Caenorhabditis elegans: one gene and its partners. The protein of the gene in region 3 purifies or fractionates together with the protein of the main gene of each other region. This does not show direct contact. Each region holds a gene or a part of one and is shown on either strand. Other genes may lie near its edges.

Region 1 (5,892 bases), on a different chromosome or scaffold from region 3:
GAAATAGATTACTATGACGTTTGAAGAAAAAAAAATCTAATTCAAAATACCTTTTTGACAAAGTAATGTTACCACTTTCATGGATTTCTATGTTGTATAAATTACGACTTTCTTCGAGATTATACGAGAAAGGAAAATATACATGGGGCAACCAAAAAATGTGGAGTAAACTTTCTGGAAAAAAAAATCAAATATTTGAAACAAGAATTTGCTTACTGATCCGGACAGTTTTGTGGCAGGCGTTGAGATTGGTAAAATCCAAAGTGGTATTCTGAAAATTTTTTATTAAAAAATAAAATATAAAAAGTAACGCCACTTTGAATATATTCTTCATACAGTGCCGGCCATAATTCTATCCAATTGTCGATTTTTGATAAATTTACAAATTTTTCGAACGAGCACAACTTAAAAACTGAGCATGCTATCAAAAAAATTTCAACTAAAGAAATATTGTCCATAATTACGTCTACTTGTATTCAGTTGTTTAAATTGTTTGCCAGTGTCATGACAAGAAATACAGCGGCCGACATCTCGTGAGCCCGTTTTTGACAACTTTTACTGATTTGCCCGTATCTCGAAAACTAATTTTTTTCTGGAAGTGTTTTTAAAGTAAAATCATCTTTATACTACTTGAAATCATGTGTGTCTTCTCACGTTGTTCTGAAAAATTCAGCAAAAAAGTTATGAGAGATTAAACTTGAATAAAATGTGTACGACAACAAACACGCATGAGCAGTGCCAAGTGAGGGACTAGTTTGCACTTCCATAACTTTTTTGCTGAATTTTTCAGAACAAAGTGAGTAGGCACAAATGATCGCAAGTAGAATGAAGATTATTTTACTTCAAAAACATTTCCAGAAAAAAAATTAGTTTTCGAGATACGGCCGAATCAGTAAAAGTTGTCAAAAACGGGCTCACGAGATGTCGGTCGCTGTATTTCTTGTCATGACACTGGTAAACAACTTAAACAACTAAATACAAGTAGACGTAGTTATTGACAATATTTCTTTAGTTGAACTTTTTTTGATTGCATGTCCAGTTTTTAAGTTGTGCTCGTTTGAAATTTTTAAATTTATCAAAAATCGAAAATTGGATAGAATTATGGCCGGCACTGTATAACTCAAATTTAAAAAAAAAGTTTCAATTATAAAGTTTACTTCTTTATTCTCATTTCCTGAAAGCACAGAAAATGTTTTATTCAAAAAAAAATTTGTAAGTTACAAAGTAATTTACACATTTTATAATGTAAGTTTTTGTAAATTTTAACATAAATAGTGGCAATAATATAAACATTCCTGGATAGAGATCTAAAATTTCAAAAAATCTGAAAAGTAGAGATTTTTTAAGTTATGAAAAATAAGCCAAAATAACCGGATACAACTGTTAAACTTACAGCATTTTTCTTATTTTTAAAAAGATTTTCCAGTTTTTCAAAAGTTTTTTTTGGCAGGAGCTTTTCGAATTATCAAATTTTCTATACTGGAATATTTTTTGAAAATATGAATAAAGATGCTTAAAATTGTATAATTCATTGAAAAATGAAGAAATAACAAAAATTAATCAGGAAATTTAAAACTTGTTCAGTCATGTTATATATGTTTGATGAAAGTAAAGCTTTTTTTTAAAACTTTTTTAGAGTGAACGTTTTTTTGTTATGTTTTTAATAAAATTGTCACTTGTCTTCATTGCGGGGATATAATACAGAATTACCCAACATATTTATATTCAAAATAGTCCAAAATCACTTCTTGGAAATAAATTTAACTCACAGTCCAACTCATTTCAAAAAAACCTTCTGTGCTCAACTCGTGCGCTACTGAATTGTACAACCATTTGGCAATCTTATAGTTCGACTTTATCACAATTTCACCTGAAAATTATTTTTTTTCAACACCACTTTTTCACAATAAGTTACCAGAAGAATGTGAATTTCTTCCTAAGAGATCAGCAATCACATCTTCATCACTTGTGCAATCATCGCATAATACTACTATTGGGATAAAAATCAACAGTATCCAAATGCGATACTTCATTTTAAGGATCAGGTCTAAAAAATTAGGATAAATCAAATTATTTTCAGGGATGAAGTAGTGAGAAAGAATATTTTGTTTAAAAAAATCTGCACGATGCCAGTGAATTTTCTCAAGAAAAAAAAGAGTTGTAACATAAAGTACAAAAAAAGTTGCCGTTATTGAAGTAAAATTCTACGGCCCCACCATATTAGGTCATTGGAGAGAAATTCAAATTCTCTCAGAAAAATTTTTGACGGAGAGTTCAAATTCTCTGAGAAAAAATTTTGACTAGAAATTTAAATTTGCTAAAAAAAACCCGGAGAACTGTGAAAAGTTGATACATAGGTAATTTAAATTTCGCATCAAAAATTGAGAATTTGAAAAAGTGAACAAAAAGGAAAAAGTGATTCATTAAGAAGGAAACAAAAAGAAAAATAATTGAGAGAGTAAAGAAAAGAACTGCATTCCCCCTTCAATCCAATTGTAAGTAATGTTTCTTATCAAATTTAGGGAGAAATATCTCTTCATTCAACGCAAAAAAAACAACAAGGCGGGATTTTACCGATCGGATAGAAAAAGTGGAAAAAAAGGAAAATACTTTTGAAGACAAGATTGATTACAGAATTTAGTTTTAAAAGTAGAATAGCGCCAGAAAAAATAGTGAAAAGCCATTTCTGTGTGATAAAATAACACGGTAAAAACTGTCAAATTAGTTTCAACTTTTTTGTTTGAGTCAAATTCTAAGACCACAAGATATTCGGTTTATTTCGATAATCAAAATGATATTACTCAACAAACTCCCACTGGGGCTTCTCCACCTGAAACTTAATTTTTTTGTTTCTACTATTTCTGGGGTTTGTTCGCATTTTCACATGGTTTTTTTGTAAATTTTTTGTAAAAAGCATACCTATCTAAAAAAAAATTTCCTGTTGGTTGATTTTGAATCAGCTTTGATCTGAATAGAATTTTTTCTTTACTGGTAAATAAAATTAAGAGATTCTTTTCCAGTATCTGGTCAATTCAAAGTTATTTTATTTACAAAGTGAACGTTTTTTTATATCAAAAAGTGTTTACTCAAACTTCGCTCAAAAGATGTTTATCAGAGGTAATTAATTTCGTTCCAAATTTATTACATTAGTCCAAAAATCGGATTTGAAAATAAATCACAAATTATTTATTCGAAAAAGAAGATGACAAGAGAAACATAACATTGGAAAACCAACAGAACATTGAAAATGAACAGTGAAAATTTATGAGAAATCTGTCCATTTTGCTTTGGAAGAAGAAATGATAAGAATCTGGTTTTGGTAGAATGTATATACATATATGGTCACCTCTTTTTCATTTCGTGTTACACGTTTTAAATTAGTTTTTTGAAGTGTAAGTTTTATAAAAGCAGATATAGGTGATCTACTCAAAAGTTCCACTTTTAATTGACAGTAATTTGTAACATAATTTATTCAATGTTTTATACTGATTGTAAAATTAAAATATTTTTTTCAAAAGAAGTACTACAATATATAATTTATTTCTAAAAAATCTGAAAAAAATTCACAGAAACCCTTTGAAACTATACTTGTTTTTATTTCAGTTAGTTCAGGACCTGAAATTTCTCTGCAATTGTAATTTGAACCAGGAGTGGGCGGTAATCGCCGTTCAGCAGTTTTTTGTCGACAGATTCGGCAAATCGGCAAATTGCCGATTTGCCCATTTGCCGGAAAACTTTGCCAAGAGGTTGTTTTGAAACACTCAAAACTGTGTTTTTTTTTCAAATTTGTTCCCGTTTTCTTCAATATTTTATTACAATTCGCTTAGTTTTCAAAATTGATGTAGGAGCATTCATAGCATGCGTACAACTTTGACGATTAAAATTGAAGTTCTGAAATTTCCAAAAAAAAAGTACACAACCACGATTTGTTGAAAATTTCATGCAAATTCGCCAAATCGACAATTGCGGTTTTTGCCGATTTGCAGGAAATTTCAAGTTCCGGAAACTTGCCAATTTGCCGGAAATTTCAATTCCGACAATTTGCCGATTTGCGGATTTGTCGAAAAAAAAACCATTGCCGCCCACCCCTCATTTGAACCTGTGATTTGATTTTTTAAGGTTCTTCTGTTTTTCCTCTCCGATAACTATTCTCAAAATTAAATTCAAATTCTTTTTGGTCACCACTACCACTAATGCAACTCTCTGATAAGAAAACTTATCGAGTGACCGGTACGAAAGAACCCTGACATTCAACATTTTTGATGTAGTTGAGCATGAGGCTGACCTTGATAAGGAATTTTTACCCTCATCCCTCCCCTCACTTTCTCTTTTTTGACAGCTGCTGCGTGGTGTGTGTGTCTGTGCTCAATCGTTCCCGTCTTGATTTCGAAAATGGTTGTGTTATAAACTTTGTTAACAAGTAAAAAACTGTTAGTATTTTCAGCCTGTACACGCCTGTGTTGCCCATCAAATTTACCAAAATTCTCCAATTTCTATGAAGAATGAAATAAACTCACATGTTGTACTTTCAGGACTTTGTTTGACGTAAGTGTATTTTATATAATTTGTCTAATTGTTACAAATCAAGTATACCTATATATATATATATTGTTTTGTTCTAACTACCTAAAATCTAAGCACTGACCAAGTTAGCCATTAGCACTGACCAAAATAATTATCAGCACTCACAATCGGAAATGCCTATTTTCAGTAGTATTCCAAGCACAGTTCTCAAAAACCGTACTCGTATAGAAAAACTCACATTGGACAACAATGTTCTTACTGAAAATTCTTTCAATATGCCAAAGTTCGCCAATCTTAAAGAACTTTCAGTCAGAAATAATAAGGTGAGTTCAATAATTGAAAAACTGTTTCCATTTTCTTTTTTCAGATTCGAAACCTAGGAGTGCTTCTTGCAAACATTCAGAAAAATTGTCCCAATATAGAAGTGCTCCGAGTAAAAAACAATCCTGGAATTCCAGAAAAATTCACAGAAAAGGAGTGAGTTCCTTTTTGCTCGGGTTCCAAAAATAATCAATTTTGTTTTCACTTGAAAATTAAATGACTATACAAACAGTTTTTATCACCGTTTTTTATTTTGCAATGTATAGCATCGTGTTGAATTCCCATTTCCACCATAAACAGCTCTTCAAAAATAAAAAATATTAAAATTAAAAAATATCAACTTTTTTTTTCAGAAAAATGTTGATTTCAAAGGTTTTGAAAAAACTACGTGTGTTGAATGGTCTAGAAACACACCGCCAAAAACGTTATTCGGGATGCTCCACCGACTCGAAAACATCATCAGGGTCCGAGTGACAACTTAAGTTGCTTGTTTTTTCTACATTTTTTGTTACTTTTGCATAAAAACAACAATAAATCTTTTTTTTCTATTTCCTTCTTATACATTTCTTTTTTATCCACCATTATTTTTGGGCGGCAAGCGGTTTTCTTTTAAAAGCCACATGCTTTATCCCACGAAGAAAATGGGAAAATGGAGGTTAACGTAAATGGAATTGAATTGCATGTTGAATAGAAAAAAAAGAATGTGCGTGCTCCTGTCCGAAGACTCAAGTACGTGTTTAACCGAGTGGAAACTCACCACCAATTGTTTTTTCGGCAACCGATGGGAGTGGATAGAGGGAGGGATGATCATCGAATTCAGGTGCTCAATTGAGTTTTGTGCAACCTCTCAAAGCTTTTCCCTAGTTTTTTTTTTTTTTTCTTGTGTAGATGTCATGAAACACATAACTTAAGACTTGAAATAATAGTTCTTAAAATTATATTATTGTTGCAATACAAGTTGGAAATTGTTTGAGATTATTACTAGGTTTCAACTTGTGCACGTGGCAAGTTTGATCTGTACATACAACAATTTTGATCCGCGCCGTA
Region 2 (6,002 bases), on a different chromosome or scaffold from region 3:
TTACAGTATTCAAATTACAATCTGAAACTTATGCAATCTTTCAGATTATCTCACTATCACCATTCCTAATTCTTCCACATTCCTAATCGAGGTAAAAGGTACACCGCCACGTGTGTTGCAAGAGGATTATCAAAAGAAGAGCAATTTGTACGAGTACACAACACAAACAACCATTTTATTGGATTGCGTGGAAGACGCAACAGAGCCGGAAAGAGAGCTGACAGATGTGCTCGGTCGGATGCTTTGTGACGGAACATGGATAGTAACAACAAGGCTACAATTTGAGCGGCACGGTTATACAGGTGTAACTGCCAGCAAAGCACTTGAAGTTGGAGGGAAATTTTGAATCAATGTCTAGCAAAATAATAAAAAAATTATTTACGTAACCTTTTATAAAATTTACGTTACAGGCTTTATCAAAATGTCGATCTTTCGACAAAAATCAGTATTAATTTATTTTGGAAGTTTTTTGCCAAATTACTAAAAGGTGAGTAGGGGGAATTTCAAAGTGATCATTTTGCAGTCAGACTAGGGAGGGGGGGGGGGGGTGGTGATAATTATAACAAAATAATTTCACGTGACCTTTTCTTATCAAAAGAAAACTTCCAAAAGGGGGAATTCGAAAAATAAATCAATAATAATTCTCCGACAAATTACTAAAAGGTATGTAAGGGCAGACTTTTCTTTTAGCCTAAACAGTTGTGTTAACCAAATGTTAATGTAATGGCTTGAAATTTGTATCTAATTCAATTCACATTTACAGTAACTCAAATAAAATGGGCGACTTGATCCAGCTAAGTGTCGGTACAAAAGTAAAAAAGTGGCAAATTGATAAGAAACTCGGAGAGGGTGCATTTGGTGCAGTCTACAAGTGTTCCAACCCGAAAGGAGACCTTTTTGCACTTAAAGTCGAGGGAAAAGACGAGAAAATTCAGTTGTTGAAAATGGAAGTCTACGTGTTGAATGAGTTGAAGAAGGCCGGAGGACGTCATTTCTGTAATATCGAGGATAAGGGACAAGTCGATAATTTCAATTATGTCGTGATGACATTTGTTGGGTTGTCACTTGCCGATTTGAGAGCCATTTCACCAACTAAGAAATTCTCGTAAGTTTTCTTTCAGAGAAACGGTTTTACAGAGATCTGGCAAAACGGAAGTTATTGTTCCCGTTGGATCTCCCAGAATTCAATCACCAAATTGCCTTTCCAGAATGGGAACCGCTATCTCCATTGCCCGTCAATCGCTGGAGGCACTCGAGGACATGCACAACATTGGATATCTCCATCGTGACGTCAAACCTGGCAACTACACAATCGGACGTGCCGAGGTCAATGAGCTTCGCAAAGTTTATGTGCTGGATTTCGGTATGGCTCGTAAATTTGCTCACGAGGATGGAACTATCAAGAAGCCCCGTAACGTCGCCGGGTTCCGTGGGACTGTCAAGTATGCGCCTGTCAGTTGTCATGCTGGACGTGAACTCTGTCGTCAGGATGATTGCGAAACGTGGCTTTACATGGTGGTGAGTGTGTATTCGGATCAAAATATTATCTGCTTTTCAACTAGATTTGAATTCGCGCTTAAAGTCACTTGCGCGATAATTCAAACTCTGCCATTTTAAGGAAGGCAGAAAGCTTATCAGAAATTGAAATTGATCCGAAATCTAACATTTTAAATGTTAAATTTCCAGGTTGAGCTCACTAAAGGGTCCCTGCCATGGCGTAATATGACAGAAATCCAGGATGTTGGAAATGAGAAGCGTGCTATTCGCCGTGATCCCATCGTCAAGAAGAAGATGTTCGGAGGGTAAGAGACAGATTTTCTAAAAAACTATTTTTGAAGTGTTGAAAAAACTTTCATCACCCGTCTCTGTTTCAAAACCTATCTTATTTCAGCTGTCCACGTGAGTACCTTGACATTCTCGAAGCGATCGATAAGGGACAATTCTTTGATGAGCCGAACTATGAACGGATCTACTATCTTTTGAGAGAGGCAATGAAGAATACGGGATCCACTGAATATCCGTATGATTGGGAGCAATCTCTTATGAAGAAAACGAAGGAAGAACAGGAAAAGAAGAAGAAAGGAGTTGTAGATCAAACAGAAAAGGTTATCAAGAAAAAAGAAGTTGAGTTGGCAGAGGGAAAATCTCATAAGGAGACTAAGGAGGTTACCAAAGTCAGTAAGGAAATTGTTGAGGAAAAGAAGGAAGAGAAGAAAGAGGAGAAAAAGGAAGAGAAAAAGGAAAAGTATGAAGACGATAAGAAGGAGGAGTTGTATTGATTGACTTTCGAGAAAAATAAATTATTTTTGAATGTTTCATGTGATATCTAGTTTTTTATCCTACGCGTACGTGATTATTTTGAATATTGGAGTTTCTCATTAGTAACATTGCTTTTTGTTCGAAGCATTCAGGATGAGGTCACCTGGGTTTCCTGCCATGCTCAGTTACTACAACATTGACATCTGTTGCAACTATTCAGTTAACTATCGATCTATATTCTTTTGCAGTCATTCATTTTTGCCTAACACAACTATAATGGCTGCCGTTTCTGAATTTCGTCTTCTTCAATTGCCTGAAAGAGCTCAACGAATTTCACTCTCGCACATGAGTTATAATTCAATGTAAGTTTATTTTGTTAACAAACAACCAGTTTAGTCATTTTCTTTTTCAGATTCTCACTCTCCCTGTGCTCCACAAAAAAAAACAAAAGACCTCGTTCGAAATTTCAATATAAAGTTCTATCGATTTTCTTTAGAAATATTTGGCGACATTGCTCTGATTATTAGCTGCGAAAACAGTCAAATCGATTTTAGTCTAATTCATTGAGCAGTAAAAAAACGTTACACCAGGATGATGTGCTACGAAAAACGTTAGATTTTTTGCAAATAGAGTGGAGAGTTTTGTATGGAAACGACCAAACTTGACATTTAGAAATTGGATAGATCACTTTCTCAATATTCTAAATATTTCAACTTTGAATGTTATAATGGCAAAGAGAAATGTTCATGTTGATTTTGAAGATCTTAATAGTTGTTTAGAAGGAGTACCTATACGAACGCTCACCTATGAAGGTATTGAAATAACTTCAGATAGAATTAATCGAAAGCATCCCGTTAGTGATACATTTTTATCAAAAGCGGGGTTTCTTGATTTTTATAATTGCACGTATAAAAGCTCACAGTTCATTCACAAGTTTCTCATTCATAATACTACGACGGTATTCACTCGTGGAGTGCCGCGATATAACCTGAATGATTTGCTGGTGTCTAATGGCCAAAAAATTTACGTTCAAGTCGGTAGAGGCATCATTTTTTTGGAAAAAGATGTCAATAAATTTTTAAAGCATTGGATACGTGGGTCCAATAGAGAACTTAAATCATTGGCATTCAGAGCTCCGATGAATATGGAAATAGAACATGCTATAGAAACAATATTAAAAGGAATATGTTACAAGGATGCACGAGAAGAAGATGCAGCTTCTATTAAACTGGTTCACATCTGCAATGGAAATACCTTTAAACATCCAATAATCAAAATAAGTGGTTTTCGTATTAAACGATTCGATGGAACAAATGCAACAGTTGTAATCAGATTATTAAATGCAAATAGTGTATGTTGTAATGTTGATATGTTTGTTTCCTAGATTCTTGTTTTAATGCACTCTCATTAATTGTACTTTTTATGAACACATATTTATACTCACTTTCCCTCTGACTCTGTCCCCTCCGAGGCACTGTCCCTTTGACCGCTATTTTTTGCTGCTTACCTTTCTTTGTTTCCTTTCTTTTCACTCATGGGACGAAATAAATAATAATCTTAAACGGAAGAGTGCTGGAGCATTCAGATACATTATTTTGAGTATTCGTCTCGAGGGCTGTGTAATTGATTTTAATCTGTACATGCTGAATAGTTGTGAGAAAATTACACCAGGACTATGTGCACCGGAAAAGGTTCGACGTTTTACAAATGATGTGGTAAATTTTGAATTAAAGCAACCAAACTTGAAATTTAAACATTGGATAGATCACTTTCTTAATATTCCCAATATTTAAACTTTAGATTTTGCAATGGGAAGGAAAAATGTTAATGTTGATTTTTGAAAATCAGGTTTTTTCGTTTGAAACATTTAGGATGAGGTCACCTGGGATTCCTATCATGCTCATTGTCAGTCACTACAACATTGCCATCTGTTGCAACCATTTAGTCAGATATCGATCTATATTCTCTTGCAGTCACTTCATATGTCTTGCATTTTCTGCATAACACATCTATAATGGCTGCCGTTTCTCCATTTCGTCTTCTTCAATTGCCTCAAAGAGCTCAACGCATTTCACTTTCGCACATGAGTTCTGTTTCTGTGTAAGTTTATTTTGTTAATACAACCAGTTTAGTCACTTTCTTTTTCAGATTTTCACTCTCCTTGTGTGCCACAAAAAATACAAAAGACCTCGTTCGGAGTCTAAATCTGAAGTGCATACGATTGTGTTTAGAATTCTTTGATGACCTTATTTTGAGTATTTGCTTCGAAGGCTGTATAATTGATTTTTATCTGTACATGCTGAATAGTAGTCAGAAAATTACACCAGGACTATGTGCACCGAAAAATGTTCAAGTTTCTACAAATGATGTGAAAAATTTTAAATGGGAACGACCAAACTTAAAATTTAGAAATTGGATAGATCACTTTCTTTATATTCTCAATATTTCAACTTTAGATGTTGCAATGGGAAGTAGAAATGTTAATGTTGATTTTGAAAATCTTCATAGTTGTTTAGAAGGAGTTCGTGTAAAAAAGTTATCTTATCATATACTGGACATGACTTCAAATGAAACCAACCGAACAAATTCCGTTAATGATACATTTTTATCAAAAGCAGAGTTTATTGTGTTGTCTAATTGCACGTATGAAACCTCACAGTCTATTCACAAATTTCTTATTTGTAATAATGCGACACTATTCTCTAATGTTTTTTCTCCATATAATCTGAATGATTTACTCATATCCAATTGCCAAAACCTTCTCGTTAACGTTGATAGAGGCAACATTTTTTTGGGACAAGATGTGAACAAATTTTTAAAGCACTGGATACGTGGATCAAATGTAACACTCAAATGTTTGGCATTAGAAGCTCCGATGAATATGGAAAGAGAACTTGTTATAGAAACAATATTAGAAGGAATTGATTACAAGGTTAAAGAAGAGGAGGTGTCAGTTTATAAGAAAATGCTTGATATCTTCAATCACGGAAATCCTTCAATTACCAAAATTCGTGGTTTTCGTATTACACGATTCGATGGTACAAATTGCGATGTTGTAATCAGAACATGCAATCCGAGTGTTATGCGGTACAGCCTAAATATGTTTATTTTCTAGTTTTGTTCTGTTTTGATACACTCTCATTAATTGTATTTTTTATGAACACATATATATGCACATATTTGTTGCTTCTAATTGTTTTGTTAATTGGAAAAACTGGAAAATGGAATAAATATTGGAATAAAAACGTGAAATAAGAAACCACAATTCAAAAATGACGTAGTGGATGTGGAGATAAACCTTTAAGAATAAATCAATTTATTATTTTTTCACATCGACTCGGAGGATGTCGTCGTTGAATGAGGATGTTGACGAGAGTAATCATATTTTTTATGATCCGGTCACACTCTTGAGACCGGTTTCACGAGCGATTAGCATGAATTTGGATCAAGTAAGAGTTTTTGAAATATTTTAATGCATTGCACTAAATGTGCCTCGCAAAACTTGAATTTTCAGCTTAACTTCGTCACTGTTCTTCTTCTATCATTCGGTTTGGGCTACTGGTTCCGTGTACAATTTTGTGATGCAAGTCGGACAACTCGTGCAGCAGTCACTACATCAGTTGGGCTAATTTTCACCTATTTTTGCTATGGAAAGTGAGTTTTGAGATGAAGTAGATTAAAAAAAAAGGGTTTTCAGTGCCATAGCTCATTTATTCATCAACGGGTTTGGAAGTTACCTTCTC
Region 3 (7,923 bases):
AAAATGGCATTCCATTCGGGAACCTGTTAATGTAAAATAGCAATGTACCTTTAAAGTACGGTAGCACAACTTTGAGACAATTATCTGGAATTTGTCCCAAATCCTGCTCCCTCGACAATCCTTCGAAATCGAATATTCTGTCTCAGTTATTTTTGGAACAATGGCTGCGCTTTTTGAAGAGAATGATTCTTATTCGGTGAGTTTCTGGATTAACAAGAATAAAGTATAATTCAAGAATTTTAGGATTCCGAAAATGAAGAAGATTTTAGCGGCTTTTTGAGTGAAATCGAAGAAAATGAAAACGAGGATGAATTTGAAAACGACGATGAGTTTGAAGACGATGATGAGCTTGAAAATGTGGATGAACTTGAAGATGACGAATTATCCTCTGAAGAAGTGGACATCCCTTCCGAAAATGAAGTAATTGTCGAGCTTCACGATGGTCAAGGTGAGCAGTTTTATAGTTTTTTGCTCTTTTTCTGTAACAAAATATTTTCCAGCCGAAGTGGAGGAATCACTTCTTGATGCTCTTCTTGGAAAAGCATTGGCAGGAGATCAGATGAATTCTCGAATTGAAGGACTCTTCGAAGACTTGGACTCTTCAGTTGAACCTGATATCATCGATCGCAGCGAGTTAGAGGATGTGGACAGTGGTATTAGTGTTGGAGCTGTTAGTTCTTCCTCTGCAGAAACTCAAGCTTCTGATGCGAAATGCAAAAATAAGGATGCTTTCGACATGTCTTCACTTAAGAAGTATATGCAGTACATCACCGAAGAAGAGCATGCCGTATCAGTAGAAGATATTCCAGATTTTGCTTCCAAAAAGTAGGTCTTGAAGCTTTTCTGAATATTTTCTATTTCAACTCTTCATCCTTCCAGAAATGTGTATGGAACCAGCTTCAACGTTCGCAACGGAATCATGTCTCGTCCACCTCGTTTCGAATTTGCTCGTCACGATCAACGCTGGATCGATTCATGTGTATCCATGGCATACGAGAAAGACAAGACATTGAAAGAATTGATCACACTGGGAAAGTTGACAACAACTGTCAAGGCTGGAGCCAAAATTGAATTCAGAACCAAATTCACGGATGTTCATATTCGAAGTGCGGATGAAATTAACTTGATGGAGACACATGACATCCAACAGATAATCCGTGATGCATTGAATTCAAAGCGTCTCGCCGTGGTTCTCTTTGGTATTGGGAAAGACGGAAAAGTTACTGGATGCCACATGGGTCCTGGTCAACAAGATAATCTGCGTCTTGCTCTGGATACTGCTGTTCAAACCGAGTTTGCACCTCCAATTGAGAATATTCTCGACGTAGTTGACATGAACTTCGTTCCAGTTGAAGAAATGGATGAGACGTTTCTGATTGTCATTCGAGTGAAACAACTCCGTAATCAAGTCTATCGTTTAGAATCATCTGTTTGAAGTTGTTAATCTTCTGTTTTTGTTTTGTTCGTTGTTTCGCTTAATATCGCCTCCATTATATCTGTATCATGAAGTTTTGTACCAATTTCTGATTGTTGTTTAACGATATTCGTAGTATTCCTGCATGTGATTTGCTATTTTTATTTTTGAACGGTCGGTTAATTTTGAACAAAACAAGCAATTTGATTCCAGATAAATCAGATCATGTCTCGAAAATGCACAATTCGCTACGGAACCTCAATAATGCCAAGTTTTGCGAAGCTCATAGATGTTGCTCCTCCAACGGAAGCGGAATTTAATAATCCGTGCCTATTTCCCGAGAAACGAATTGCTGAGAATTCTGAGACTTCAACTCTCCGACGACCTTTTCTTTCAGCAATCCTTTCTGCGATCAGTGACCAAAAAGCATTATATTTGTGGCAGAAAGCAAAAATTGACGAAATGGGATTGAGTGCATTCAAATCAAGTATGACGGAAAGAATGTCACTGGGAACCAAAACTCATACAAAAGTTGAAGAGATGCTAAAATTAGGACACCACGAGTCAAAATTGAATAATCTTGTAATTATTGAATGCATTAAAAACACTGCAAAAATATTTATCTGGTCAATTTTCAGATCGATAATGAGAAAAATGCTGCTATCAGAAATTTCATGAAAAGTGCAATGCCCGTTATTCTGGAAATACAGGATCCGCAGAATGCAATTTGTGAGAAGAAAGTCAGGCATCCAACATTGGCGTATCAAGGAAGATTTGATGCAGTTGTCAAGTACAAGTTGGTGACGCGGACGTTTTCAAGTTTTGATTCACATATCAGCTGATTTCAGAGATTATTGGAACATATTAGATTGGAAAACTACTCCGGCACGATCCTCGTTCAGCACACAGCGCGAGGATAGTTTATCCTACACAAGCTATGTCCGTCAACTGGCTGCATACGCTTCTGCGTTTAATCATGATGTTAGATTTGAAAATCTACCTTTTGTAAGATGATGCTAGTTTTACGCTGAAAAAATTTTAATTGTAGGTGAAGCAAGGAATATTGGTTAGTCTGAAAGAAGATGGGTCACCTGCTGAAGTTTATCAAATATCTGAAGATGAAATGATGAGGACATTAGAAGAAGTCACAGAGAAACTGAATGAATTCTGGTGCAAAGTGACATCCGCCAATCAAGTTAATATTGATTTGGCGTATAAGCCCCCAAAATAATTGGAAAATGTGATGTTTTTCTATAAATAAATATTCTCACAACTCTTTTTCATGTTTTATATAATACAAAATGCACATCAAGCAGAAAAATTTCAACATAAAGTTTACACCAGAAGTGAATTTAGGGATGAAGAGGAACCAAATTACGTAAATACAAAAGTATCGAAACATGATAGATTTAACACTTCGAGCACAGGCCCTTGGCTTCGGTGAGAAGCTCTTTCTCGTTATCGTTGGTAGGGGTGATTTTGAGAGCCTGCTCAAAGAATGGCTTGGCAGCAGCCTTGTCTCCCTTTTGATGAAGAGCTTTTCCGAGGTAAACCGTGTTTTCAATCCAGTCTGGATTGATTTCATGAGCTGCTTGGAAGTCGGCGATAGCCTCCTCGACAGTGGCAGTTGGTGGCTCAGAGTACAGAAGTGCAGCAGCTTTGCGTTCAAACCACGAAAGATTGGCTACTGAAAGAGCCCAACGACCACGCAGATGAAGAAGAGCATCTTCCTTTGGCTGGATAGAGATGGCACGATCGAGATATTCCTTACAGTGTTTTCCCTCCTCAATCTTTTCCTTGGTTCCAAGGTACTCGGTGACCTTTCCCGACATCAATGCAGCCCAGCGAGCAGCCAAGAAGTTGTTGGAATCGGTGTTCCAGGCTTCGGTAGCGTACTTCTTTCCTTCAACGATGATGTCCTTTCTCTTGTCCTTCTCAACACGATTTCCAATTTCGTTACAGAATTTGGCCAAGCGCCAAAGAACATCAATGGACTTCTCTCCAGCATCGTATCTCTGCAAATTTAAAATTATATTTTATTGTTTAAATATATAAATGAACAGTCTACCTTCTTTAAAGCATCATACCCCTCCTGGACGCGGTCTGTTCCGAAAAGAGCATCAAGATCTTCGAAGGACATTGTTTTTGAATGAGCGGTGGTCTGAAATCAAATAACTTTTCGTTAAAAAGAGAACTTAAATATTTCTTATCATTTTGAATTGCCAGCAATCAGGCAAAGCTAAGGCATTTCGGAGGAAAGAAAATGAAAGAAGAAAAAAGAGAGCAAATTCGTATCAAAAATGGGAAGACAACAGAAGACGAGAACAGCAGTTTTGTGTATACTGATTCACGAGCGCTACGCGAGAAAGAAGAGAGTGACGGCTGTCAGAGGAAATAGGCAGTTAGAGATGTTCTTTATAGGCTACACACAAACAAAAAATGTTTGGAAGCACAGAATTCGTTCGAGAATATTCAAATGAATCATAGAAAATATATGTAAAAGTTAAAGAATATAAACTTGATATCGCTTTGCTAAAGATAACTTTGAAATGTTCAAATCTAAAAGTTTTACAGATATTTTCTGGCAACAAAAGATGGGAACAAAGTATAAGGTCCAGCATATTCTAGGGTTTTTTTCGAGAGAAGAAAGTCGGAAAAAGAAGACAAAAATACTCCAACTGACCTGCGATAAGGATCTGCTGAGCGATTTTGAGTCACCAAATGCGCGGTCGTCAGTGTACCTGCAAAAACGATTGAAAATTTTGTTGGTCAAAAAAAACAAGATTTTGATCTACCATGGTGGGTGAGTCATCGAAAAATATAAGTCTAGATGTTTTTTACCTGGCATCACAAATCGACAGAAATTGAATAATTATTAGTGACAAGATAATAATAGAATTCATTGTTGAAACAGAACTCAAGAGAAATGCAGACGTTTTCTCTCTCCCAAAAATCTTGTCTCACAAAGTGTAAAGAAGTTTCTTGGGAGCTCACGAGAACAGATTATCAGATGTAAAGGGTGACATCGGGCAAGAGTTGACGTCATTATTTATAGAGATCTATCTTATCTTTTCAATTTATGATTGTGGAGATTTTTAATCTTATCATTCTGATTTCTGGATCTATTATTGACATCTTTGGCAGCAAATGATTACCAATCTTCTTCGGCGTCTCCATACTCTGAATCTGAAGTAATCGAAGTCCAGCTTCTGGTCCTTGACATTTGTTTGTAGGTAGAAGGACGGCTATTACTCGCTTCTGAAAAATATATAATTTATATTTCTACTTTTTTTCAATTACCTAATTTGAAAGATACAGTCTTGAGAGCTCCACTACTCAAAGAAGTTCGAAGTGCGCGTTGACTTTTGATTTCATCGTACATGGTTTTCAGCAGAGTTTCGAGATCGTCAACTTTGGCACTAAAATTATTTTTTCTGAAACAACTTTCGTACTTCATTTTGATACCCTAGAACCTCGGTCATCATCTGAAGTCGTTCGATTTCGACGATATTTCGGTCATCTTTTCTTGCATAGTATAGAAATATACCTACAGCCGCACCTGTGGCTGCTGTTATTCCCACATATTTCCATACAGTTTCAGAACTTGTAGACGGCGTAGTCATCTGTTAAGCTTAGAAAATACCAATGGCTCACTGATTTAGAAGTATAAAGATTCAGGCAAGAACCGGACCGTTATGACACGTGACAAATTTTATAGACAACTGGAGTGTAAGAGATGGAAAAAGAAAAGAAGAAAAGCAAAGTGACATCGGGGAGGAAGTTTATTGAACGTAATAAAATATCAAAGGATCACTGAAATATCAGCTGGACAAATTCAAACAAAACAAATGAAAACAGTAATTAATTTTAGATAGATTAGATCTAATTACCCAATTTAGCTTTTTTCACTGGATTCTCTTCTCCTATTTCGAGAGCTTTCCGTGCCATGGCAATTGCTCCTTCACGAGTCAGATTTCCTCCAATGAATCCGGAAATGTGGACAAAGACTCCGCCTGGGATTCCACTTTCCTTCGAAAGATCGTCATCACGGAGACCACGCCAAGCAGCTGGAAGTGGCATGCGATTCTCGAATGATGACATTTTGTCGACTGGGATTGCTTGAACGCGCCACGAAGCATTGGTAGAATCTAGAAAACAGATAATAATTATTGAATTTTAAAAAATTAAATAATTTCTAACCCGAGAACAGAATGTAAGTGATATTATCGTCGGCAATATTCTTCTCTACTTCAATGTCGAAAAAGTGTTCTTTCCACGGGCATCCACCGTTCTCGATAAGAATGATCCTTCCAGATGCATCAATTTCAAATCGTTTATCCACAGCAGCTTCGATGATCTCTCTAGCTGGCCACCAAACATTTGCCAAGTACTTCACTGATCGTGAAAACTCTTCACCGATGAATTGCATTGCTTGTTGGAATCGTTCATCAGCATCATTCTCAGGTTCATTCCAATGGGAATTGAATTGACCAGTACGCGATGAAAGATTTCCTGATGAATGATATCTTGGAACTCCGTCGTATTGAGAAATCCCGTTATCAATGGCGTCGATTGATTCAACGAATTGCTCGTAGAGACGATGATAGAATAGATCAATCATCGAGGATGACACATTTCCACCAAGGATCTGAAGTTAATAGTTTCAAAACAACCTTTTGATTATTGAAAGTTACCTGATTGATGACTTCTCTCCCGTAGTGAGCGTAAACTAATCCTGCAGAGCTTAGTTTTGTATCAAAGTTAAGCTTCTCTAGAGTACGCATGGTATCAGTGAATCCACGTTGATGATGATCGTATCGTTGTTTTGAATGATCAAAGATTCCACCGACATCGACGATAATATCACACTTCTCCAGTTGAGCAGCGTCACGGGTTCTGAAATTACAGATTTCAGAACTCAGCTATAAAATAAATCCTAATAAAAAAGTGGGTCATTTCGCAAACTTGATAAACATGAAAAATCGAATTACCTTAAAATCGAATGATCCTTGAATTGTGGCAATTGTTTCAGCATGAAACAAGCAAAAGCCTCATCGCAATGGAATTTTCCGGAGTGAGTACCAATGAGCGATGTCATCTTGTGACCGAACTGTCCAAGAAGTCGTGAAATCACCTGCAGAGAGAAAACATTTTAAAAATCAAATTACCTATCTTTATGAAACCGTTATCAATAAGTAGTTTAAGATATGATGCTCACGTTCAAAACGAAATTTAGAGGTAATAAATAATAAACACAGAATAAATTTCAAGTAATTTATGAAAACGTTAGTCATGGAATGAATTTTTGAAACCGGGCTTTAAAAAAAAGTAAGTACAATATCTACAATTGAAAAATTTGATTGAAACGGGCGACACTTTTGCAAAATGTTATGCGAACGACATTCCAGGGTACTTCACGTTAGTTTGGAGAAAATGTTCCATTTCGTGTCGAGTCCGTGGCTGTGCATAGTCACCGATGTAATGTTCCTTGTAAGTTCGATAAAGCTCTTTCGCTTTTTCACATGATAAATGAGCATAATGAACCGGAACAGGCAACGAGATGGGTTTTCGACATCTAGCAGAGAGAAAAGCAAGTCCGTAGGTCATTTTCTGAAACATTTTTTTATAATAACTATATGCGGATTACAAAATCCTAAAATCGCTAACTGCTATTCAAAACGCTTACATAGACTTCATCTTGGCTCATTCCTTTATCGTCATACATAACAGTGTAATGTCCTGGACGAGATGTACCAAGGACACCATGATGAGATGCCAAGAAAAAATCGAATTTGTATTTCGAAACGATAAGTTTATCCACAGTTGTTCCGGATGATGGGTTCACAATTCCAGTTTCTTTGCTTTCTTTCATATCCTCCTCCCATTGTTTAACAGCAGCAACAGCGACATCTGTTTCAGCAGGAGTAAGATCTTTATTGACCACTGGCTTATCTTTTTCCATTCTTCGAAGCAATCGTGTATTGTGTCTTTTCTGAATCACAATGAACGTGTACTTCGGCTCTGGATCTTCTCCATCCCGTTCCGACATGAATTGTTTTACTTCGCTTTTTAAAGATCGAAGCTCATCATGACTAACACGTAGCATCTCCGAATCGCTAACTCCGTCTCGATAGACTACAATATGCGCTGGTGCTCGATTGTCGTTGTTCTGAAAGTTTACAAAAAAATTAAAAATCCCAGAGATCTTTTAAATACTCAAGACAACTCACTTCTGCGAATTCTCTGAGCAATTTCACGAACTTTGCTTCCAAAATATCTGTTCTTTCCCGTCCATGAGCCACTGCACGCTCACCGGGACGACATTCTTCTTGAGTCACAATCATATTTCGATAGATAGTTCCACCTGGATTGATACTCGCTACTACAGCCGCTATAGAATAATCAATTCCACTGTAGGAGGTTGGATGAGTTACATCAATTCCAACATACATAGTTAATGGCATTGTTTTCCGTCTTTCTTTTTCTTCTGGTGATATTTCTGCAATTTC

Evidence for each region.
Region 1: the proteins of C27H6.9 (region 3) and T19D7.6 fractionate together in Caenorhabditis elegans (co-fractionation; one large-scale study listed by BioGRID). This does not show direct contact.
Region 2: the proteins of C27H6.9 (region 3) and C08F8.15 fractionate together in Caenorhabditis elegans (co-fractionation; one large-scale study listed by BioGRID). This does not show direct contact.

The regions. Positions count from the first base shown.
Region 1 is NC_003284.9:669,184-675,075, reverse strand, and holds T19D7.6 (LRRcap domain-containing protein), read left to right. Parts: upstream 1-4,275; 5' UTR 4,276-4,392; coding exon 4,393-4,395; intron 4,396-4,444; coding exon 4,445-4,545; intron 4,546-4,711; coding exon 4,712-4,847; intron 4,848-4,891; coding exon 4,892-5,001; intron 5,002-5,198; coding exon 5,199-5,319; 3' UTR 5,320-5,392; downstream 5,393-5,892. Other genes in the region: lgc-32 (Neurotransmitter-gated ion-channel ligand-binding domain-containing protein), read right to left, coding at 51-174, 217-271, 1,770-1,870, 1,916-2,033.
Region 2 is NC_003282.8:11,159,063-11,165,064, reverse strand, and holds C08F8.15 (F-box domain-containing protein), read left to right. Parts: upstream 1-4,257; 5' UTR 4,258-4,273; coding exon 4,274-4,359; intron 4,360-4,407; coding exon 4,408-5,374; 3' UTR 5,375-5,502; downstream 5,503-6,002. Other genes in the region: C08F8.6 (non-specific serine/threonine protein kinase), read left to right, coding at 777-1,105, 1,209-1,518, 1,687-1,802, 1,892-2,279; fbxb-9 (F-box domain-containing protein), read left to right, coding at 2,536-2,621, 2,672-2,786; mboa-4 (Membrane Bound O-Acyl transferase, MBOAT), read left to right, coding at 5,604-5,708, 5,774-5,913, 5,957-6,002.
Region 3 is NC_003283.11:9,981,241-9,989,163, forward strand, and holds C27H6.9 (Mitochondrial genome maintenance exonuclease 1), read left to right. Parts: upstream 1-1,627; 5' UTR 1,628-1,639; coding exon 1,640-1,996; intron 1,997-2,052; coding exon 2,053-2,210; intron 2,211-2,262; coding exon 2,263-2,419; intron 2,420-2,462; coding exon 2,463-2,645; 3' UTR 2,646-2,692; downstream 2,693-7,923. Other genes in the region: tofu-1 (Schlafen-like protein 1), read left to right, coding at 161-196, 244-448, 501-825, 880-1,435; rmd-2 (TPR_REGION domain-containing protein), read right to left, coding at 2,824-3,429, 3,483-3,575, 4,098-4,155, 4,570-4,672, 4,715-4,833, 4,880-5,037; MYG1 protein C27H6.8, read right to left, coding at 5,297-5,562, 5,615-6,062, 6,109-6,310, 6,406-6,512; rde-1 (Piwi domain-containing protein), read right to left, coding at 6,803-7,024, 7,101-7,583, 7,645-7,923.